4 linked regions of the Arabidopsis thaliana genome follow. The protein of the gene in region 4 interacts with the protein of the main gene of each other region in a pairwise test. Each region holds a gene or a part of one and is shown on either strand. Other genes may lie near its edges. The genes, in order: AT2G43370, AT3G17740, AT3G01690 and AT3G11590.

Region 1 (4,983 bases), on a different chromosome or scaffold from region 4:
GTGATCACAAATACCTGCAGCAAGAACAAAAAATTGAGGCCGGAAATTAAGAGATACACCATATTTTCTGATCAGCTAGGAAGATGGGATATCCCTGTTTCGGATAATTTGACTTTTATTCCACTTGCATGCAACGAGTACGAGAATGACATTGTCTCTAGTCAATCTGAGGCGACTCTCTATCCTCCTAATAGACAATTCATGAGAGGTACAAATACAATCAAATCAAAGTGAGTTTGAATAAACAAAACAAGAATCTGAAACCAAGTTTCAATTCTGTCTGTTGATACAACAACTATCTAGTATCTACACAGACAAACTAAATCTCTATTTCAACATCAAATGTGAGTTTTTATATTCGAACAAATTCAATACAAAACAAAATATAAGATAATAATAGTTCATTAGTTCTAAAAAAAGAAATATAAGATAAACTACAGAAACAAATCCAACTGTAATGTCATAGTTCATAAAAATAATAATATTTGATGAACTATTTTATCCATTTAGATAAATTACAAATTGCATCATCCCAAATTTTTTTATATCTTAACAATCAAATCTATACGGCCATAATTTAAGATATAAAGACAATTCACTCATGTTAATTGCAAAACAAATATCTTGTTTGTAACTAAAAAAAAAAGACAATTTCTGTTTTGCTATATTTGATTAACATACACTACACTTTTTTTTTCTTTGGTTCAAAAGGCACTCTTAAAAGTCTCTAACACCAAATATTATTAAAAAAAAATCTGTAACACCAAATATTATTGTTATTTTTTTTACAATATGATTACTTAGTCGGAAGAATGATGATCTTGACTATAGGACCTCCTATGATGATGGGAAGGCAAGTGTTTATGACGTTTGCGAGATCGGTCTTCTTCAGAACGTTTTGATCTTTTGCTGCCAGAAACTTCACCCTTGTTGTCACCATATCGATCTTCCATACCTCGTGCTCTCTCTTTTCTATCAGAACGGGACTCTTCCCTGGAACACTCCTCTCTGTCTTTGCTGCGTCTTCTATGAGAACTGTGTGTGTGTGCGCTCGACCTGTGACTGTGATATGACCTAAGGCTGCTTCGCTCTTTAAACTCTTCTTCCCGTTCTACAGAACTCTTTTCCCGATAATATTCTTCCTCTCTATCCGACACACTTCCTTTTCTCCTTGGAGGTGATGGGATCTGCATCCAACAAGTAAGTTGTGGTACCAAGATTTTAGTTTACAAACTATCAGCTTTCCACTAGACACATTGAACAACCCATTTAATATATTATTTCTAGCAGAAGAACATTAACAAATGACCCAATAAGATAGCACCAGAGACAGAACAGGGGTAAAGTTCAAATGACTATAGAGTGGTGGTGAAGTTCAAGACATGGTAGACCTGTGTGCGCGACATATATCTTCCCTCAGGCGGAAGCTGAATACCGAGCTTTTTCAAATCTTCATGAGGGATTGGTCGTCTGATATTAACAAATAGAAAGAATGCCCATTTCATGACCACTATGTTTAGCTGGTGTTATCTCTGGACATGCTAAAGGAAGAGTAAAGCAAAACCATACAAGGGAGCACGGAATGGTCTATCTCGTCCTCCAAAGCGAAGTTGTCCGGATTCTTTCCTACCACCAAGGCCACCTCCTGTTAAGAGAGAAATAGATTTCATCTGTAAGGGATGAAAATATAACGCCTATGACATTTCATTACAGACAAAAATAAAGGTAAAGAATGGCAAACCTAGTCTTCTTGGTATCCATCCAGGCATCAATTGCTGTCTATTATAATCAACAATAATCTCTCGCCCATCTATTAGTGAATGATGAGCATCCTGCTAAAGAAACACCAAAAAAATTCTCACTCTGATAAACAAACTCCACTAGTTTCCAGTAATTACACGGAGATGTTAATGAAACAATCACATTGCGGTGCCTTAGTAAGTGGTTCAGACAGCTTTCAACAACAAAAACAAGAGGTAAAAAGAAAATGCAATTTAGTATCACAGCACCTCATAAGCACGAAGCATCTCCTTTTCAGTCTCATACTCCACAAAACCATATCCTCGTGAAGCTCCCGTCACTAAAAAAAGGTAACAAGAAGAGGAGACTCAATACTACACAATGTGGAACTTAGAGGAAATATGTAATCACAGTTCTGCTTAGACAAATATCTTGGTAGAAAGTAACAAACCATCAGAAATAGAAAGATGATAAATTTCCTAAAGATAAAGCAAAGTGTTGATGTCATAAGTAGAGCAATTGCAAAATCTTACCAATGTGTCTTACCAAGCGCAAGTTCTTAATCCTGCCATACTTACTCATCACCTACGAAGAAGAAACTTTTATAATCATATTCAAAACATAGTCTACACGAAAATCAAAAACTAAGTGAAATTTCAATCATTAACCTCTCGAAGTGTATCCTCCGTAGTGTGATGAGAGAGACGACCCACGAAGAGAGTACAGTAAGGATCTCCAACAGCCTTCGAATCACCAGAAGGATCATCTTTCAAAACAACCCAAATCAATGTATTTGAATTCAGAAACCAAACGATAAAAGTGAAAAGAGGAGCAGAGAGAACGAGAGAGTATACATACATAAGCCAGCGTTATAACAGAGAAGAGCTCGACGGACGCCGTTATCATGTGGAGCAACATCAGTTCCGTCGATACTTCCGGCTTGAATCGGATGATACGACGTCGCGTAGAACACTTTGTTCACGACGTTGTTTCCTCCGCCGCTCATTTCTTCTCCCCCGACTCTCTCTCTCTCACGGCGGCTCCGGCTGTTTAAGGAAATAAAGAATAACGTCGTCGTTTGAATTGATTACTATTAAAAAGCCCAACATATAAATTGGGCTTATTACAGCCCAGTTAAAGATATATGATATTCTCGTAGGTCCCACACGAAGGCGGAAACTCCAACGGTGGCTGCTTTGGGTTAGGTGAATCACTCACTGAAGAGTGAAAAGCTCTAGCACAAACCAAACACCAAATCTCATTTCTTCTTCTTCTTCTTTTTCCACATTTTCTGATTAGCAGATCAAATGATGCTTGTTCGATCTGTATTTCGATCTCAGTTGCGACCCTCTGTCTCGGGTGGTCTGCAATCTGCTTCTTGCTATTCTTCATTATCTGCTGCTTCAGCTGAAGCTGAGAGGACTATCAGAGAAGGTCCCAGAAACGATTGGAGTAGAGATGAAATCAAGTCTGTTTATGATTCTCCTCTTCTTGACCTCCTCTTCCATGGAGTAATTTACCCTTCTTCTTCTCTCTCTCTCTCTCTCTCTCTCTCTCTCACTTACTCTTCTCTTTGTTGTTCTAGCTACTCTAAATCACAAATTTGAAGTAGAAAGCTTTGGGTTTCTGTTAAATTATTGGTGGAAAGTATCGATTTTTAGTTTAACCCAGAACATGTTTGTTCTCTTTGAAACATTTGTCTTAATTTCCCGGATTTTAGTGTCTTTGTAATGTCTATTGAGCTAGGTATTATTCATTTGGTTGCTCATCTGATCTCGTTATCAGTTGTCTTTTACTTGAATAACGATGGTGTGTGGACTCTTTGGGTTTCAGGCTCAGGTTCATAGACATGTTCATAACTTCAGGGAGGTACAACAATGTACCCTCCTCTCCATAAAGACTGGTGGCTGTAGTGAAGACTGTTCATATTGTCCTCAGTCTTCGAGATATAGCACTGGAGTTAAGGCACAAAGACTCATGTCTAAGGACGCTGTCATTGATGCTGCTAAGAAGGTTTGCACTTTTCTTGTGAATGTTTATTTTTGCTGAATGTAGAATCCTTAGCAGAATGTATCAAGAAGAAGGGGACATGCATTACTATGTACCAAAACGTTGTTTTTATCAATCCGAGCTCTATCTCTATCCAAAAGACTCTAATTGTTTAATGAAGCATTTTGACGATGTAATGAGCTCTTCTGATTTGAATTAACAAATTTGATGTGTTGTTAGGCAAAAGAAGCTGGGAGCACACGTTTTTGCATGGGTGCTGCTTGGCGAGATACAATTGGACGGAAAACCAACTTCAGCCAGATTCTTGAATACATCAAAGAAATAAGGTACCTTACTATTATGCTTTTTAAGTTGAACTTTGAATTTCCTTGTTTATACTACATTATATGATCCCTTTTTCAGCTGCTTCTGAATCTAAGCTAACTTAAAAGATAACCCACCGAACCGATCATTAATGGTTCTAGAATGAACATTTTTGCATGTCAAACTAAAGTGAAAATTTCAAAGTGTACTTGATGTATCCGTGAGCAGAATGAATATGATGTTGATGATGGTGTCTGGCTGAATGTGTTTACTAACTTTCTGGGCTCTCACTTTAAAACAGAGGCATGGGGATGGAAGTTTGCTGCACCTTAGGCATGATTGAGAAACAACAAGCACTAGAGCTAAAGAAGGCTGGCCTCACTGCTTATAACCACAATCTTGATACTTCAAGAGAGTACTACCCAAACGTCATCACTACTAGAAGTTATGACGATCGCCTTGAAACTCTTAGCCATGTTCGTGATGCTGGAATCAACGTTTGTTCAGGTAACTTTGATATGAAAATAGTATTCTTGTATGCCTCAATTCTATAGAACTAAAGGATTGAAACCTGTCTTCAGCTTGGTCATTAGACTCACAGTTTTGTAATATTCGTTGATTTTGATAAATCCATAGATACGACATGTTCTCAAGTGTTTTCTTTTACCGATAAACAGGAGGAATCATAGGGCTTGGTGAGGCAGAGGAAGACAGAATAGGTTTATTACACACGCTGGCAACACTTCCTTCTCACCCTGAGAGTGTTCCCATTAATGCTCTACTTGCAGTGAAAGGCACTCCTCTTGAAGACCAGAAGGTATATCTCCACAATCTAAAATCACAAATTGCAAGTCATAGCAGCTACTTAGTAGGAAATGGCTTTGAGAACCGTTTGTGTTTTTGCAGCCAGTTGAGATATGGGAGATGATC
Region 2 (7,719 bases), 2.4 Mb from region 4:
CTTTGCCATGGTCATACTGAGATACCTGGCTAGAGCTTCCAGTCCGTATCTTCTCAAAAGAAGAGAAGACGTCTTCCACAACCACTTTATTGCTTTTACCAGGTTCAGGAACCTTTTCATGACTTGATTGCTTTGAACTCCGTGGATTCACAAAGCCTCTTTTACTTGGATTGATACTGTATTCCTCAGAGTCAGCTACAATATCAGTAGAGGTATGGTTCCAGGGAGGTAAATCGAGCTCGGTATCCTCAAATCCTTCAGCAAACGTGAATCTCTCCTCCCAAAAATCTGCATTACCACTTTGTGTCTGAACAGAAACATCATTCATAAGATTACTCTCGTGTAAGTTATTGGCAGCTCCACATTGTATCTCTTTCACAACCAATTCATCAGAAATGTGACTATCGTTGTGAAGACCCAATGCTTGGCTACTCCCGCCTTGCTTCTTCTTATCCAACAACTTGCTCACACAATTATCCTCAAAGTTAAGCTTTTGAAGAGACCCATTTGAACTTGGTTTCTTAGAAAGCTCACTAATCAACGCAGCTTCAGCTCTCATAAAATGATTCTTCCGCAAAAATTCCAAAATCGAATCGATAGAGCTCGAATCCTCCATTTCCCCAAATCTCTAGAAACAAATTTTCACAAAACCTGAGAAACATTTACACAAACAGAAACTCCATGATTTATTTCTTCGAATCTCAAATAATTCCTCCCTCCAAACAAAAACCCAGAAAGATAAAATTAAGCAACTTAGTGACTAGTACGAAAATTCGTTAGACAGAACCCTAACAAAAGCATATTCTCCTTCTCTCATGAATATTACCCCATAAAAAACAAAACAAAAAACCCAGAATTCGAAGTCGAGCAATCATTTTCACTTACAGATCTAATTCGAGCAGCTTCAATCAATTTCTTGCAATATTCCTTGTTGAAGTTCTTTTGATTTGTTCTGCAAAATCTAATGGAGCTTCTTCTTCTTCGTCTTAATAAATTTGCTTATGCTGCAATCCCGGCGCTTCCCTCCTCCTTGGACATCCCATTATCAACGCCACCAATGCGCAAATAATAATGCCAATTTTTATTTTATTTTTTCGTTTATTTTTATTAAATGTGTTTATCTTTTTTTTTTTTTTTTTTTCAACCGATATAAATTAAAACTCAAAAGAGTCAATCCGGGATATTGTTTACATACGTGACATGAACAGTCTGTAAAGAAAGCTACGTTCTGGTTATCTGCTCCAATCATGCACTTCATCGCCCAAAGAAGAGCTTCCATTTCGGTATGTAGAGGAGATAGGCTTCTACGAACGTTGACGGCTCCCATGGTTGGCGACTCTCCAAGAGATGATAGACAGAACCATCCTGTTCCTGAGAACTGGTCACTTGCTTTCCAAGATCCATCAATAAAACACCGATAGCCAGAAAAAGTTGTATCTTGTGATACATCCCTCACCCGAATTCGATTATCTATAGACAAAGAACCATGACTTTCACTATGGAGCTCGAATTGAGCTTCCTGCCACGATTGAGCCTCTTTTACCGCTAAAAGCAATATTTACGCCTGAAGGAATTCTCCAAAACAAATGTGTTTACCTTCTCCAAAATGTGTTTACCTTTGGATCCATGGAAAATCATTAGTTTTGGTGGGAAATAAAAAAGCAAAATGACACTTTTGCCAATTTTTATTAGACTGTCCTAAATTTATCACAAATTTTAGTTTATTCTTTACAATATTGCACGTGGTTTTTATACTTTTTGCTGTACTTTTTCATAACGAATTAACGAGTAAAATTAAATATGGCGTAATAATTAATCAATAAATATTTACCGGTTATGTAGTTTCGAATTCAAATTCGAATGTTGTTGAACATTAAACAATGAGTAAATTCTTTCAATGTTAATAGAGCCCATTAATTATTTATATAGGCCCAATAATTAGGCCTATTCAGTATTCACGATCCTTGGCAGAAATATATAGCGGCACAAAAAAAATACAGAATCGGTTTTGTTTTTTCCGGTGGATGTAATGTCGAATACACCAGAAGACGGCGACGGAGCACAGGTAACTACAGGCGGCTTGTTCCCCGTCTTCCCTACTTCGGCGAACTCCATCTCAGCTATTTCGAATGCTCCTCAATGGCTTCGCAACGCTAGCTTCACTACGGATCTCTCTGTCATCAACGCTGCCGCTTCGACGGCTCCTTCCTCATCCGAGGTCGAGGCTGGAGACGACGAAGATGAAGAAGGAGGAGCTGATGGAAATATCGGTTTAGCTAATCAGGCTAGGGTTTATAATTTGGTTGAAGAAGAAGGGTCTTTGGAGTCTGATGACGACAAGGTAAAGAGGAAGCGAGAGAAAAAGAAGAAACGGAAGAGTGATAATGCTTCGGATGAATCTCGTTCTCGTAAATCTGATGAATACTATTCGAAACCTGTGAAGGATTATTACTTGGACACTCGTCCTGATCCAGATAATCTGGCTTATGGCTCTATTTACAGGTACTTTGCTTATAATTTGTCTAGTTATGGTTGGTTTCATTTTCTGTATTCTGTGCAAGGCGTTTTAAGAGTGTAGGGATATTGAAATTTTGCTTCTGTTTGCATAATACAGGATGAATGTTCCTCGTTATAAACTTGACAATTCTCAGAGAGTTCCAGGGTCAGGTTCTCTGAGGTTTTATTTGCGGAATCGACGTAGTTCTATGCTTGACACAGAGATTGATATTGATTCTTTGGAGGGGAGAGCAAAGTCTGATACCCGATACTGGTATGCAAAACATGCTGCCATGGAACGCAACAAGAATTTCAAGCGTATTCGTTTATCTGCTGCAAGTGAAGCTGTGGATTCTTCCTTTGATAATTTCATTCCACTGGAGGAAGACGTGACTGTTCCAGAAAGTGACGAAGAAGATGTTTTATCAAAGGACTCAATGATTGGAGCATCATGGGAGGATGAAGTGCTGAATAAAACACGGGAGTTCAACAGAGTGACGAGAGAACGTCCCCATGATGCAAAGGCATGGCTGGCATTTGCTGATTTTCAAGACAAGGTTTCAAGTATGCAATCTCAGAAAGGAGTTCGCCTGCAGACTTTAGAGAAAAAGATTAGTATACTTGAGAAGGCTTTTGAGCTGAACCCAGATAGCGAAGAACTGTTGCTTGCTCTGCTCAAGGCATACCGAAGCAGAGACAACGCTGATGTACTAATCAGTAGGTGGGAAAAGGCACTTATGCAGAATTCCGCAAGCTACAAATTATGGAGGGAGTTTTTATGTGTTGTTCAAGGGGAGTTCTCCAGATTCAAAGTATCAGAAGTGAGGAGGCTGTATTCTTATGCGATCCAGGCTCTTTCTTCTGCTTGCAGCAAGCGACATAGGCAGGTTCTTATTTTATGGTGCTAACTGATAAGGGTTGATGAATCACTTCATTACGTACTGTTTACTGTCACAAGTCGTTTGGTGTTTCCCCACTATCTTTAATCGCTGGCATTATTGATATTCTCATTAATAGCAGTTTGACATTGTAAGGTCTAATTCTATTTATTGGATTATGCAGGTGGATACAACATCTGAACCATTGGATTCTGCTGCCATCCAACAGGAACTCGTTCTAGTCGATATGCTAGTTAGCCTCTGCAGGTTTGAGTGGCAGGCTGGTTACCAGGAGCTGGCCACAGCGTTACTTCAAGCCGAAGTGGAATTTAGCATCTTTTCTCCATCTTTGTTGCTAACTGAACAGAGTAAATTACGACTGTTTGAGCACTTTTGGAGCAGTAATGGTGCTAGAGTTGGAGAAGAAGGAGCTTTTGGATGGTTATTGTGGCTGGAGAAAGAGGAGGAAAACAGGCAGAAAATTTTGAAAGAAGAATCCTCTGATGACAATGAAGTAGGTGGTTGGACAGGTTGGACAGAACAGGTCTCAGGTAGAAATGGAGATGATATTGCTTCAGCTAACACTGGAGAGGTCGATGTTGATCGGAAGGGTCTGGATGAGGAAATGGAAGACGAGAATAGCAAACCTGAAGATGACACCGAAGCTATGCTGAAATTATTGGGCATTGATGTCAATACTGCGGCCAGTGATGAGGTTAAAGATACATCAACTTGGGTTAAATGGTTTGAAGAAGAGGTTTCTCGAGATCACAGTCAATGGATGCCTACTCGGAAAGCTGGTATCTATCTCTATCTTTACCATCATTATCTCTGTATTGTTTGTTCATCTTTTCTTTTGGAGCTTACAAAGGTCTAAATGTGTCTGTTGGGTGAATTTTGTCCAACTGGGACTAGTCGCTCAGCCTTCTTTGTCATTCCAGAGTCATTAGTAAATAAATTCCAGTCTCTATAGATATGTTTGATGGTATTGTTGACATGTAATCTATCTAAAAGACTGTAAACATGCATGTGGTTAACCGTCCATCATCCTTTAATAGGTGAATTCTCCAGTGTTGAGGGAATGGGTGAGGGAGAAGATGAAGAGCAACTCTCAAGTGTTGTACTATATGAAGATATAAATGGATATCTATTTTCCTTACGTTCAAAGGAGGCCCGCTTATCTCTGGTATACCAGTTCATTGATTTCTTCGGTGCACATATCTCCCCATGGACTTCCAGCAACAGTTTGTCGTGGAGTGAGAAAATAAGTAGCCTTGAAACATTTTCAGATTCCATGTTAGAAAACTTGAGAAGTGTTCATGAATGTTTGTCGAAATCAGATAGTGCCAACTGTTTCAGCTTGGGATCTCTTCTAGGTGGCAGCTGTGACTTATCTATGCGGACTGAGATGATGAAGTTTCTCCGCAATGCCATCTTGCTTTGTCTAAATGTTTTCCCGCGAAATTACATTCTCGAAGAAGCTGTGCTTGTTGCAGAAGAACTATTTGTAACAAATATGAAAACATGTGAGGTAGCAACTATGCCATGCCAAGCTTTGGCCAAACGTCTCCTGAAAAGTGACCGGCAGGTAAGCCCCATTCCAATTTTTTGATGTGTTTTTTTGTTCAGTTTATCTGAACTGATTCGTTCTCTATGAACAGGATCTACTACTTTGTGGAGTTTATGCACAGAGAGAAGCTGCTTCTGGAAATATGAAACATGCAAGGCGAGTCTTCGACATGGCACTGACTTCTATCTGTGGCCTCCCTAAGGTTAGTTTCAGATCTTTTGGTTATATTGTTACTTGTTAGCATATGATACAAAATTTCAGGTTTCCACGTATGTTTCTAATTCCAAGGAACTTCTGGATCAGTAACCCTGGTTTTGTGTTTATTTCTGATTCAAATTATCGCGTACTGGTCCCAAAAACTGGGGCACTGCCACTTGAGTTTGGACAAGATAATCTCTCTCATGGACGGATCATAGTAGAGTTTGTTATAGAACAGTCTCTTCTTGGTAATGTACAGGGAAGCATGGCCTAGTGGATATATCTAGCCCAATTTCCGTGCTTTCTTTGGATTTTTATGACATTGCAAAAGCCATGCTAAATTTATTTCACCTATGATTGCAGGAATTACAGTGTAACACTCCTTTGCTATGTTTATGGTATGCTGAATCGGAAGTAGCCAATAGTAGCGGCAGTGGTAGGGATACAGAATCATCATCTCGTGCTATGCATATTCTGTGCTACCTGGGAAGTGGTCTAGCTTATAGTCCTTATACTTCCCAGTCTTCAAGCATGCAAATTCTTAGAGCACGCCAGGGGTTCAGAGAGAAGCTTAAGAAGATACAATCAACATGGTCTCATGGTGTCACAGATGATCAATCAGCAGCGCTTGTTTGTTCGGCAGCTCTATTTGAGGAGTTAACAAATGACCTTCCTGGTGCTCTTGAGATCTTAGAGCACATGTTCAGTTCTGTTCTTCCAGGTTATTTACTTATTTCCATGATCAGTATTCTTGGGTTCACTTACTATTTTCCATATGAATTTCTCTTAAAAGCATGTATCCACTGTATATCTGAATTTGGGCTATTGTGAATTTTTCAGGAAGAAAAAGTCAAAGTCATCAACTTGAACTCTTGTTCAATTATTATGTGAGAATGCTTCAGAGACACCAGGACGATCTAACTTTGTCACAACTTTGGAAGCCCATATCAGAGGGACTGCAACTGTATCCTCTCAATCCTGAACTTTATCGAGCTTTGGTGGACATTTGTAATCACCGGATGACATCCCATAAACTGAGAATGATGTTCGATGACTACTCCCGCAAGTAAGCTTTTTCACAAACTTGTTAATAAGAAACCCTCCGATCTCAGGAGTACTGCCTAATGTTGATAGAGATGCTTAGCTTAAATGGTTAAAGACTAACAGTTACATGTTTATGGCCTTCCTCCTAGAACAAGGTTTATATATATCGACATTTCAGTGCTAAGCAAGTTTAGTATATCTAATCATGCAGGAATTCGTCTGTCGTTGTTTGGCTATTTGCACTTTCTTATGAATTGAGTAAAGGAGGCTCATCACACAGAATCCGCGGATTGTTTGAAAGGGCATTGGCACAAGATACACAAAACAACTCAGTTATTCTATGGCGTTGCTACATAGCATATGAGATCGACATCGCGGACAATCCATCAGCAGCTAGAAGGATTTATTTCCGAGCTATAAATGCATGCCCATGGTAAGAAAAATCTAGAGTTCTTTCTCCAGATTTCTCATATTGTCTGAGAACCAATTCTTAACATAATGACATGGCAGGTCGAAGAAACTATGGCTCGATGGGTTTGGGAAGCTGGGATCAGTCTTGACGGCAAAAGAGATGTCAGATTTACAAGAAGTGATGCGGGACAAGGAACTGAACATTAGGACAGATATCTACGAGATTCTGCTTATGCAGGGATGAGATCATTTAAGTGTCAACTAACAAATATTGTTGTAATATGGAAACGTGATTTTCTATAAATAATCAAGTATAAGTTCATTTAAGTATTTATGAGTGTGCGTCTCACTCGATAAGTTCATTGACTCCCCAAAATTGGCCAATGTTGGCAGGTTTAAGTGAATATGTTTCCTTGAACGGAAATTTGTATTGGACTGCTTACAAGAGACTCGTGAGTATTTTTCTCGGAAGCTTTGATTCCTCCACGGAAATATCGATGCTCTTTTGCCTCCTTGTGAGAAGTGTTTCTGGCTCACTAGATAAACTTGTCATCACTGTATTTAAGGGCGATCGATTTGCATTGTTAAAGCAAACTCGTATATGAATACAGAGATTTGGGTAACAAAGGACAAGATTAACATTAGTAATAAGGATGACGTGGTGTGGTTACACTTACTGACACTGTCAATACCTGACTTTCCCTTGCTATTCCATTAATTTTCTGGTATTACTTACTTCATCTTTGACAAGACCATAATCATGTGTTGTGGCGATTACAAAACTGGAGCTACTTGCATCTATATGGTGAGGGGAGATATGTTCAAGAAGATTCAGATCAATTCTGGGATTTTTCAGTTTTCTTACTGTGTCTATCTTCCTAATTTGATCTCGGTTCCTTTTGAATCACATCAAGTTTAAAAGCAATTTCTGCTCTCCTTGTTACAGAGAGCAGCTATAATACCTTTTCCCTTCTTTGAAAGGTGATTTTGTTTAAATTTCTTATATGCTCTGAATAAACGACGATGTATAGTACATGAGCTTTCTTGAATTTTTTACAACTTTTTTCTTAATGTTGGGTTAATAGTATCATATTTTATTAATAGTATCATATTTTAATCAGC
Region 3 (5,166 bases), 3.4 Mb from region 4:
CGTCTCAAGTTTAATTAAAAAACAAAACTTAGAGAGAGAAGATGAAGAATCCGGCGGCGGCGACAGTGCCGGCGATGGAGAGCTTCACATTAGTCGTGGCGCCACTTTTGGGTGACTCGGCGGCGGCGGGTCCATCAGATGAGGGTCCGTCGGAGGAGGGACCATCGGCTTCGGGGGTAGGAGCGGGTGGGGAGGAGACGGTGGGTGCCTCGGCGGAGTCACTGGGGCTGGCTGCAGAGTAGTCGTCTTCAGGGGTGGGTTCCTCAGCAACAGGGGATGATGCTTTCGGTGCGGCGGCGGAGGATTTGGGTGCAGCGGCAGGAGCCTTGGTTGGGGATTTGGTTGGTGAGGCGGTGGGTGCAGCTGAAGGTGCATCGGCGGCGAATACGGTGCCCACGGCCAAAGCCAAAAGGGCAACTACGACAAATAGACGTGCCATTATTTTCTACTTTTTAAATATAGTTATAGAGATTAGTAAGAGGAGGTGTCCAAAGCTAAAGCAGTATATTTTATTTGTTTGAATACTGCAGAAGCTTCAGATGAAGGAAAACAAGAGGACAATGAGATGGATTTATATGTTTTGAAATTTGAGAAATTTTAGGAAAATCGATGGATTTGAGAAGAAAATGGGCATCCATTAGCCTTATTTTAGAAGTGAGCTACTTTTTGTATATATTAATTTTTGTACGTAGCAAAAGATAGCGAGATCCTAAAAATTGGATTTCTATTAAGAACAAACGATTGGGCCATGAATTTAGTTCAGGCCCACATGAGATGTGTGATCTTTGTTTTGGAACTTTCCTACTTACCACAAACACTAAAAACTCATCTAAAAACAGAGGATGGATATTCAAGCCCACCACAAAAGGTTGTTGATTCAAAAGGAGATGGCGAGAGAGATCCCAAATTGCATAAAAGATTACAAATCAATAATATGAGGAGCGACATCCACATGTTATTTTGTTCGGTAAATAGAAACAGTTATGTACTCTTTTCATCTACATACGTATTATACGTGTGTGAGTGTGAGTGTGTGGTTTTTACTCGGAGCGAACTCTATCCAACCTATCCACACTCTTCCTCCCCCTCTCAATCTGGTCAACGCTCTTCCGAGTCTTTTCATGGCAGTCAACGCTCCTCCGCGAGCGATCAAGTTGATCAAACGAGATCTTGAGCTTGCTGCTGCTGCTACTCATCTTCGACTGACTCTTTGGTGGCTTCTCTTTCTCTCTACGCTCTGTGCTCTGCCTCGGCTTCACTCTCCTGTCCATACTTCTCCTCGGGGGCGCATCTCTCACTCTCTCTGATTGGTCGCTGCTCATCCTCGGACATGGTAATCTCTCTACTGTTGCTATGAACTTCTTGAGGTGTCTAATGTATTCAGGGTAGTGTTCAAGATCACAGTGGTTCCCTCCTTTCACCCAGAGCGGCTCGTACTTGTCTTTGCAGAGTTCCCATAGTTGTTTCCCATGAGAACAATCCACTACCTCATCCGAAGTTCCCTGCACATATTTGAAACTGTTTGGATCCAAAAAGCTTATCAAAAATTCAAACGAAAATGTATCTATCTGAAACCTGACTTACATGAATGATGAGAACCGGGCAATCGACATATGGGATTTTGTCGATATTCTGCGGAAAAACACACACTCACACACAACAAGCTTCTTACATTACAATTTGGAGAATGTGTAGGATTAATAGAAAGAATTGGTACGTGGTCTACCTTGTAGATGTCGAACCAGTAGGTTTTCTTGACGGAATACATAACTCTTAAACCGGAGAGAATGGGGCTGTGAAGGACGACGGCTCTAAGTTGAGGCAACCGGGAAGCAAGATCTAACGTAGGTCCGCTGCCTACAGATTGGCCGTAGAGGATGACACCTTCCTGCTTAGAGCCAAAGGTTTCTTCAAGACACTTATAAACAGCTTCGATATCAGCATACGTGTTATGCTCACTCGGCTACAATCAATCATTTAAGAGAAAGAAAGATTTTTGAGAGTTGGTCCTAAAACTCATAATGGATCATCAGACCAATCAGATTGATGGGGTAAAGGACAAACCTTTCCAGTAGATTGTCCATACCCGGAGTAATCGTATCTGCAACATCACAACCAATAATATCAAAGACTGATTGATTCCAAGCAGATCCTAGCCCAAGTTTCCTTTTTTATTGGGGTGGTGAATAAACACTCCAAACATAAACAGAGCAAATACTAGAAACAGAGCTAGAAACGTGAGAATCAAAACAGGGCAAATCCTATACCAAATCAATCAAAAGAAGCATACAAAGATAACATTTTTAAATCAGCATCATAATAATAAAATCAATCGAATTACAAAGGGAGAGAAAGAAAAACAGACCCCATAAGATTAACCTTGAGATGGATGCTAAGCTCAATGAAGAGCTCATACATCTGTCCCAGATCGGCGGCGTTGCCATGGGAGTAGAGGAGCGTGGAGGTAGCCATCGGATGCCTCACGTACATGCCCACGATCTCTGTGCCTCTCCTGGTCCGAAGCTTTACGATTTCTACGTTTTCGCGGTGGGGGAAAGGGCTGAGAAGCAACAGTCCGGTGAGCTCGTCGGTCACCACCTTGTAAGACGGTGGACTCGGCGGGAAGAAGGCAAACTTCGCCGCCACCGATGACGTCACCCCTCCCATCTCCTTCCTTCCTCACTCCGTTTCTCTCTACACAGCTTGCATTTGGGTTTGGTTTATTGAGAGAGCTGCTATGTTTTGAGATTGAAGCTTTTCATCTCCTTGGGAACAGAGAGAGAGAGAGAGTATTAAGCAATACTAACAAAGTGGCTTTTTTAACGATTACTAGATTACTACATTAATCTTAATTGTTGCTTTTCATAAAAATTGATTTACGCTAAAAAATACTTAGAAGTACTTTTGACTTAAATAGGGGTTCGGTATTGGCTATAACGTATCTATGAGAATTAACGTAACAAATTATTTATTATGCGTAGTAATAAATTATAGGTAATTTTATCTCAATTCATCCCTAATATCATAATCTACATTTTGTACTTTTACATATTTTTAACTTATATTTGACATAATACGACGGCTAATCGAATAAAAATACAACTTGCTCATTTGAAAACTCTTTTGTACCTAATTCTCATAGATATGACATGAGCCACCCCTAATTTATGTATCAAAGTCAAGCAGAAGTGGACAGACCATTAAAATTAGCCTTTGTCCCCCACAATAAGAAGGGTTTACATAGATTTCATAATTCAAAGAGTACAATAGAGTTACAAACAAAGTGTTTTCCTAAGATAGACAAGGTGGACAATGGCATGTGGGATGATATGGTTGCTATTTAGATAGAACCATGCAATTCATTGGTTATGATTAGACATATGCCATATCTCTTTTGACATTTACTTAACTTTTTGCCTTTATTATTTAGACTAATCCATCAAATTACTTTGTGTTAAATACTAAAAAAAGAATGAAAGTTACAAATTTTGTGTCTAATTATAAAAACTAGCCCAAACGATAAGAGTAGTAACAATCCATTCTTTATTTGAAGATGGACCACACATGAAGATATGGATCATAACAAGGAAAATAAAACATTATATTGACGACATGAGGGACACATTGAAATGCTATAATTCACTGGACAAGAAAATGAGATATCAACAACTAACACAAAAAACATTTATAAGAAGATAAGCCAATAAATGACAAATTGATCAATTAGAAAATGATAAGAGTATATAAGTAAACCATTAGAAACTGGAAAGAATAAAAAAGAGTATGCTGTGGTGTGCTTCGTGGGGGTCCATTTACTAAAGTGGGATATATAAACATTATGAGAAGAAAGAAAGCAAATAGTTATATTTTGAATTGGTCTAATTTGACATATTCAAAATTGTTGTATTCATCAGGGTTAATTTTATTAACAAAATAAATTCAACATTTATCTATGCTATTAAGAGAAGAAATTGTTAATTATTGAAAATTATTAGGAATACTTCAATCGAACATGTCCCACAAAGGCCAAACCACACACATGGAATGACCAATTCTCTCTCATACAAAGATATTGAAATTCAGAAATTATTTATGAAAAACTATATAGAGAATTCAAATTACGTAAAACAAAAAGAAAAAGCAGCGGGAAGAGACGTGAGCTTATTGCATCATTTAGAAGTTGTAGTTCTCGTCTTCGTGGAGCTTTTCATCGTGACAACAAGAGAAGCTCATGTACTTCTCCATCGGACGCTGACACTCGAAGCAATTCATCTTCTCCGGAATCCGACCGCTCCGAGCAGTGATGTGGAAATCAAAGTGGCCGCAAGGTTTTCCGGTTTCACGGAGGACCTCATCGTGGTGGTGGTCGGACATTGCTTTGGTGTAGCCTTTGGTCGGGACGTGGGTTTTCCAGGTCCGGTCGTAAACACTCATAGTCCTCTCTATGGCACCGTGAGCGATCATCACTATCTCAGGTCCTTTGCTCAGTAGTGCCCATCCTCCAAGCTTGTCGTAGCTTAGTATCTTTTTGATTCCTTGCATCACCTAATCAACGTTTTCAAACACACAAAATCATTCATTAACCAATTGAACCGAACCGAACCGAAATAATTGAAAACCCTAGCTAGTCAACTCTTACATCGTCGTGATCATCGGCTTTACCGAGTTGAATCTTGGAGTACAACATGCTCTCGAGCCTAGTCCAGAAGAACCACATCAAGGCAGGTTCGGCCCAGCTATGGCTCAGGTTTTCAGACCTGATTACTTCACTGATACGCCTGATCTGTTCCCTGTGGCTATGGTTTCGTTTTCCGACGTAAGCCATCTCAAGGTTCACGTTGGAATCTTTGGCCGTTGCTTTGGCCGCCATTGTGAATCTCCTTATCCAGTCCAAGTCATCTCCTCCGTACAGGAAAATGTAATTATCCGGTTTTATCTGCAAATCAGACCCATCATTGTTCATTAATCACGCCTCGTTCTTGAATGAATGTAATTTAGGTCAAACCCTGCCTGCTCTGTTTCTAGAGTTTCCAGGCCAATCATAAAAAGAAAAAAGGATGAGACTTTTGAAATACCCAGTTGAAAATGACAGAGTCGATGCCGTCGACGATGAGGTTAAGGGAAAAGGTCTCTCTCCTCCAGAGCTCTTCCTCACGAGATCTAGTG
Region 4 (6,243 bases):
TTGTTTTCACGTGGTTTAGAAAAGAAACAAGAGTGGGCTTTTAAATTGGGCCCACAGAGTGGCAGAAGCAGGGCTGAGAGAGTAATGGGTCCTACAAAACGCCCATGATCCCAAAATTTCCAAAGAAAATGGAGACAATCTTCTGTGTTTATCCGAAAGCTACCCTCACGCTTTGGATTTTCTTCTTCTTTTTTTTTTCTCTCTCTTTTCTTTTTTAATACTACTTATTTTTCTATAAATTTGTATATCTAGCTATAAAGGTAATAGAAAATGGTAAGTTATTTTTTCCTTCCGGTACAAAAGATGAAAACATGCAATAGTCGGCAAAGGTCCACACTCCACACATTTGTCTGCACATCTATCCAATATTCATTCATAGGTTCAACCACAACTTTATCTACTACATATATATTTTTTATTTTATTGAACGAATTTATATTCGTTTTCCATTTCTGTCATATATCATAGTAGATGTTGATAGTTGGGTAATGGAGCAAGTGAAAGATTGATGGTTGGTAGACCATAGATTCATGCATTCATACCATAAGGTATACTGATGGTGATTGGGTAAATTTTTGAGTCAGCTATTACAATTGAAAAGTTCATCAAATGACAAAACTATTACAACTTAGATCTTTGACAGCCAAAAGAAAAAAAAAAAAAAAAGAGAAAAAAAAAACTAAATTGTTGTTAGAAATTAGAAGTCAGAAGTAAGAAGACTCCCATAGGAATACAGTTCTGGCAACCAATTTCTTAGTTCTTTATTGGGCATTCATATCTTAGTTGGGCCTGACTCATATATATTTTGAACTTTTTGTACGCAATTGTATCTAACACTATAGTCTTACATTGTTCATATATTTAATGTTTTATATTGATTGCTACCTATATATTTTGATATGATGTAGATCCAACTATTTCTAGGTTGAATTGTCTTTTCGAACAGATTTTGTTTCCGGATTCACCATAAAAAAAAAAAAAAACTTATGTGACAGAAAGTACTATAGAAAGAATCGTGTTTACAACAATAAAGAGACTTGACCCAAACAAAAAACGTTTACAACAATAAAGAGTTGAACAATAATACGGTACGATTGTGTATGTTGAATCATCTCCTCCACTTGGACGTGTCCATTTGACAACGGAAAAAAGTGTGGCCGTGTTATCTTTCTTTGTAACGTTTACAGTTTCAATTGTTTAGTTTGATCAAATAATTAACTTGTGAATTTTATGGATGCAATATCTTGAAAACTAGGAAATCATATCTGATCATCCTGCTATAAAAAAAATAATACATGCATTTTAATATTCATGGTTTCACATGAATACTTCGGTCATCCATTTTTCAATTACACGAGTGTAAATCTGTAATATCAATATTCATTTATAATTATAACGGGTTGTGATTTGTGAAATTGTGGGTATAGATAAAACTTCAAAACCTATTGAAATGAATATCTATATACTTGGAATAGTAGTAGACACATTTTGTAATGAGTAACTTAAGCACACCGGTTCTCACTCACACTCGTCTAATGGAGAAAAATGGTATATTATATACCTCATATAGGAACATGATCATATGATTTAGGAGTCATAAGCATGAGATTAACAAGATATTTTGGTCCACATTAGGAATCTACTAAAGGAACTATTTTCTTATAACCTAAAAATCTTGGTTTGGTAAAAAGAACAACCTTAGATTATTTGGTCTTTTATCGATTCATGTAATTGTGTATCAAATGATTAAAATCTAATGCATCCTACTCAAACACGTCATTTAAGAAACCCTATATAGTACAAACACGATCCAATCTCCAAATTAACCCATAGTATATCATAGACGAGCATAATATTTTTGGTCAAATATAAAATTAGATGCACTAGTTCCCTTTATTTAGGCAGATGGACTTTCTTCTAATCGAAAATAATTGTTCTCAATGAGCCGTCAAACTTTGTGAAATATGGATATAAATTCATGACATCTACATAATTTTTGGTTTAACATGTGAAATTGAACTTAGGATCTATTTCATTCGAATTCTTACCATATACTAACCAAATATAAATAATGTTTACTGCTAAATACTATTTATATAAGTTTGTTCTTCACTAAAGAAATTTGTTGATTAGTTTGTTTTTCTAATTGAGAATCTCTTATTTCAGGACCGATAAAAAGGAAGTGATTTCCGGTTTTCGATTCAATTATTTCGGTTTAAGTCGGTTTACAAATCATCCACCCTGTAAATCACGGAGCAACATCCATAATCCATACAGATCAAACCACGTGGACATGTTACAGTGTTCCTTATCACAGAAGATGAGTACTCCTGTCATCTTTCCCCTTTTCACTTTAACATAACACTCTGTACACTAGTCTGATCAAAAAACCTCAAAACACAGCAACCGCCATTTCTTTCCAAATTCCCCCAATTCCCATTCCAACTTTATCTTCTGAAGTAGAAGAAGAAGCCATAGAAATGCTTTGAAGTTTCTGTAAGTGTTCTTACTCACTCTAAAAACTTCAATTTTGGTCTTTGTGCTTTTTTCTAACAGATCGGTGAAATTTTCTGAATCTGCTTTTTGTTTTTCCAGGTAAAGAGAAAGATCTACAATTGTTTTGAATATGCCGAGGCAGAATCAAAGCGTAGAGAATCTACTTCTACTTGGCAAAATCAGGAAACGTGGTTGTTCTTCGCCGACATCGTCGACTTCTTCGATTCTCCGTGAAGGTTATAGATTCAAAAGAGCGATAGTTGTTGGTAAAAGAGGAGGATCCACTACTCCTGTACCTACATGGAGACTTATGGGTCGATCTCCTTCTCCACGAGCTTCCGGTGCTTTACACGCTGCTGCTTCTCCGTCGTCTCACTGCGGGAGCAAAACCGGTAAAGTATCAGCTCCTGCTCCTGTTTCAGCTAGGAAGTTAGCTGCGACGCTTTGGGAGATGAACGAGATGCCTTCACCTAGAGTTGTGGAGGAGGCTGCGCCAATGATTAGAAAGAGTAGAAAGGAGAGAATCGCGCCGCTTCCTCCGCCGAGATCATCGGTTCATTCTGGTTCTCTACCGCCTCATCTTTCTGATCCGTCGCATAGTCCAGTCTCTGAGGTAAAATGCTTTGGTTATGATTGGTTGAGAGGAAGAGAATGTGCTGTAATTCCAACTTCTTGCTGGCTGCCATGTGCTTTAATTCTGACCGATCAAAAGAGAGAGAGAAAAACAATAATATATATAGTATAGTATTGATTGATTCGGGGAAGTTATAAAGATCTCATCTTTAACTGATAAAATTGATAATCTTTGTGTGATTCTAAGGTCTGAATTTAGTCAAAGTTGTGATTTTTTTGGCAACCTCTATGAGTATTTTAATCATCAAGGGAGATTATTATTCGTATAAGCTTCTGGTTGATGTTAAGGAGTGGGATTAGAGAAGAATAGAAAACTGTTTTGATCTTAAGAATCTTTTGTCATGTGCTCTATAACGCACATTTATGTTTATATGAAAGGGCGTTTCTTTATAAGTTGGTGCCTATTATTCTTGCATAATTGGGCACTTCTACTAGTTTTTATTCTTTCTCATTCGTTGGTCATATGGAGGTAGCTGGTTGTTTTTTAGAGGTTGATTTATTGTGAATAATGTAGGCCTAGATTCTCTTATAATGGAGACCTAAGAAAAATTATATATAATGCTAAATCTGGCAATGGACAATGCGAAGAATTCTGCTTTCTTTACTTCTGTGTGTTAGGTAATTGGATAGCTGAGAAACTTGTTGATTTTTGTAGAGGATGGAAAGATCAGGGACTGGGAGTCGCCAGAGAAGAGCTTCATCAACTGTGCAAAAGCTTAGGCTTGGAGACTGCAATGTGGGGGCTAGGGATCCTATTAACAGTGGCAGCTTCATGGATGTAAGTTGATTTTTTTATTTTTTTTTCACTCTTGGGGATGTTTCTTTGAGCATTATGAGGAACCCTTTCTTCTAGCAGTTTTCATAATTTTCTCAAACCAAATTTGGTATTTGATTAAGGATGAAAGTAGTATATTATTGAGCATTATTGGCTCCAGAGGCTGTTGGTTTTTTTACTTTGGAAGCATACGTACACATAATCTATGGTTTGTTTTGTTATGCACAGAAACATTGCAAATAACGGTATAAGAAACTAGGAGACACTCAATCCGTTATGATTAGTTAATTTGCCTCCATCATCTATAAATCAATATGTGTGCAAGAGAGTGATGTTCAAAAATATTTGAAATGTGTTTTTCCAATGCAGATTGAGACTCGATCACGGGTGGAGACACCGACTGGGTCAACTGTGGGTGTCAAAACACGGTTGAAGGATTGTAGTAACGCTCTCACAACATCAAAAGAGCTTCTCAAAATCATTAACAGAATGTGGGGTCAAGACGACCGCCCATCTTCTAGCATGTCCCTCGTCTCTGCTTTACATTCTGAGCTCGAAAGAGCTCGCTTACAGGTCAATCAGTTAATCCACGAACATAAACCGGAAAACAACGACATTAGCTACTTGATGAAGCGTTTTGCCGAAGAGAAAGCTGTGTGGAAAAGCAACGAGCAAGAAGTTGTTGAGGCTGCAATCGAATCTGTTGCTGGTGAGCTAGAAGTGGAGAGGAAGCTGAGGAGACGGTTTGAGAGCTTGAACAAGAAATTGGGCAAAGAATTGGCTGAAACAAAATCAGCTCTGATGAAAGCAGTTAAAGAAATCGAGAACGAGAAGCGAGCGAGAGTGATGGTTGAGAAAGTTTGTGATGAACTAGCAAGAGACATAAGCGAAGACAAAGCCGAAGTTGAAGAACTGAAGAGAGAATCTTTTAAAGTCAAAGAAGAAGTCGAAAAGGAAAGAGAGATGTTGCAGTTAGCAGATGCATTGCGGGAAGAGAGAGTACAGATGAAACTATCGGAGGCTAAACACCAGCTCGAGGAGAAAAACGCAGCTGTTGATAAGCTAAGAAACCAGCTTCAAACTTACCTCAAAGCAAAAAGATGTAAAGAGAAGACCCGTGAACCACCTCAAACTCAGCTACATAACGAAGAGGCTGGAGATTATTTAAACCATCACATCAGTTTTGGATCATATAACATCGAAGATGGAGAAGTCGAGAATGGAAATGAAGAAGGTTCAGGCGAAAGCGACCTTCATTCCATAGAACTGAACATAGACAACAAGAGCTATAAATGGCCTTATGGTGAAGAGAACAGAGGAAGAAAATCAACGCCAAGGAAAAGCCTTTCTTTACAAAGAAGCATATCGGATTGTGTTGATTGGGTTGTACAGAGCGAGAAGCTTCAAAAAAGTGGAGATGGAGGGTTGGATTGGGGAAGATCTATTGACGTTGAGCCTAAAGGGTATATAGATGAAACACAAGCTTATAAACCAAACAAGGCTTCTTCAAAAGATCACCATATCCTCTCGGGTTCGAGACTAAGTAACTTCCGCGGTGGATCTGTTTCAAAGTCGCGGTTATCGGATGCTTCGAAAGGCGAGAACCAGAATGCCAGAAAATCAAGATGGTAATATGATCAAGAAATTTTATTCACATTTTCAGCGCAGAGATAACAGAATCTAAAGACTTTACATCTACATTTTTTCTCTGTTCGCTCGTTTTGTCAAGAGTGATTCTCTCATCTGTAAGTGACATAAAACATGAATTTGAACTGGTAATGATCCAAACATGTAAGAGCATGAATTTACACGAAATCGTCTTTTGATTTATATCATTTAAGAGTTAGAACGCCTACAAGATCGAAAAAAAGACACTAATCGTCGAGCCATTTCCTGATTCGATCCTTGACGAAATCATTACGAGCTTTGACGCGAGCTTGTTGCGGTGAGATGTTGGCGAGTGAGAGATACGCTCCGGCGACGAAGAGAGAAACGCCCGCCGCGAAAAAACCCACCGACACTACTAACTGCCGCCGTGTCGGCGGATACGACATAAAAAACACCATCTTATCGTTTACCGCCGTCTGTTGCAAAAGCTGTTTAATACTAACTGTTAATGGGCCGGGGTTTTTTATTTTATTTTGGGCTTTATTTTTAATCTCCAATTTCTCAACAAATTAAAAAAAAAGAGTATTAAAAAAAAGGAATGAAGATTAAACCGAGAAGGCGAGAACTTTTTTTTTTTTTGTTATTGGTTATTTAATATTATAAACAATGGTTTAATGGATTATTTTCGAATTTAGATCCATACAAAATTTGAAAAGAGCCCAATCAACTAT

The links.
Region 1: the proteins of AT3G11590 (region 4) and AT2G43370 interact in a two-hybrid assay, tested with the Arabidopsis thaliana proteins (one large-scale study listed by BioGRID).
Region 2: the proteins of AT3G11590 (region 4) and AT3G17740 interact in a two-hybrid assay, tested with the Arabidopsis thaliana proteins (one large-scale study listed by BioGRID).
Region 3: the proteins of AT3G11590 (region 4) and AT3G01690 interact in a two-hybrid assay, tested with the Arabidopsis thaliana proteins (one large-scale study listed by BioGRID).

The regions. Positions count from the first base shown.
Region 1 is NC_003071.7:18,011,194-18,016,176, reverse strand, and holds AT2G43370 (RNA-binding (RRM/RBD/RNP motifs) family protein), read right to left. Parts: upstream 2,910-4,983; 5' UTR 2,747-2,909; coding exon 2,599-2,746; intron 2,507-2,598; coding exon 2,409-2,506; intron 2,326-2,408; coding exon 2,274-2,325; intron 2,081-2,273; coding exon 2,010-2,080; intron 1,833-2,009; coding exon 1,742-1,832; intron 1,646-1,741; coding exon 1,570-1,645; intron 1,471-1,569; coding exon 1,392-1,470; intron 1,188-1,391; coding exon 801-1,187; 3' UTR 647-800; downstream 1-646. Other genes in the region: BIO2 (Radical SAM superfamily protein), read left to right, coding at 3,048-3,251, 3,574-3,753, 3,970-4,076, 4,355-4,560, 4,731-4,870, 4,960-4,983.
Region 2 is NC_003074.8:6,067,125-6,074,843, reverse strand, and holds AT3G17740 (uncharacterized protein), read left to right. Parts: upstream 1-1,987; 5' UTR 1,988-2,029; coding exon 2,030-2,502; intron 2,503-2,614; coding exon 2,615-3,383; intron 3,384-3,558; coding exon 3,559-4,174; intron 4,175-4,432; coding exon 4,433-4,962; intron 4,963-5,035; coding exon 5,036-5,146; intron 5,147-5,505; coding exon 5,506-5,863; intron 5,864-5,982; coding exon 5,983-6,208; intron 6,209-6,397; coding exon 6,398-6,619; intron 6,620-6,696; coding exon 6,697-6,841; 3' UTR 6,842-7,160; downstream 7,161-7,719. Other genes in the region: AT3G17750 (Protein kinase superfamily protein), read right to left, coding at 1-616.
Region 3 is NC_003074.8:254,254-259,419, reverse strand, and holds AT3G01690 (alpha/beta-Hydrolases superfamily protein), read right to left. Parts: upstream 3,126-5,166; 5' UTR 2,668-3,125; coding exon 2,366-2,667; intron 2,102-2,365; coding exon 2,065-2,101; intron 1,964-2,064; coding exon 1,727-1,963; intron 1,633-1,726; coding exon 1,585-1,632; intron 1,503-1,584; coding exon 1,041-1,502; 3' UTR 724-1,040; downstream 1-723. Other genes in the region: AGP11 (arabinogalactan protein 11), read right to left, coding at 29-439; SEOR1 (sieve element occlusion amino-terminus protein), read right to left, coding at 4,174-4,545, 4,640-4,936, 5,076-5,166.
Region 4 is NC_003074.8:3,658,002-3,664,244, forward strand, and holds AT3G11590 (golgin family A protein), read left to right. Parts: upstream 1-2,296; 5' UTR 2,297-2,496; intron 2,497-2,595; 5' UTR 2,596-2,626; coding exon 2,627-3,109; intron 3,110-3,162; exon of another isoform or gene 3,163-3,784; coding exon 3,785-3,907; intron 3,908-4,273; coding exon 4,274-5,536; 3' UTR 5,537-5,733; downstream 5,734-6,243. Other genes in the region: AT3G11591 (bric-a-brac protein), read right to left, coding at 5,779-5,970.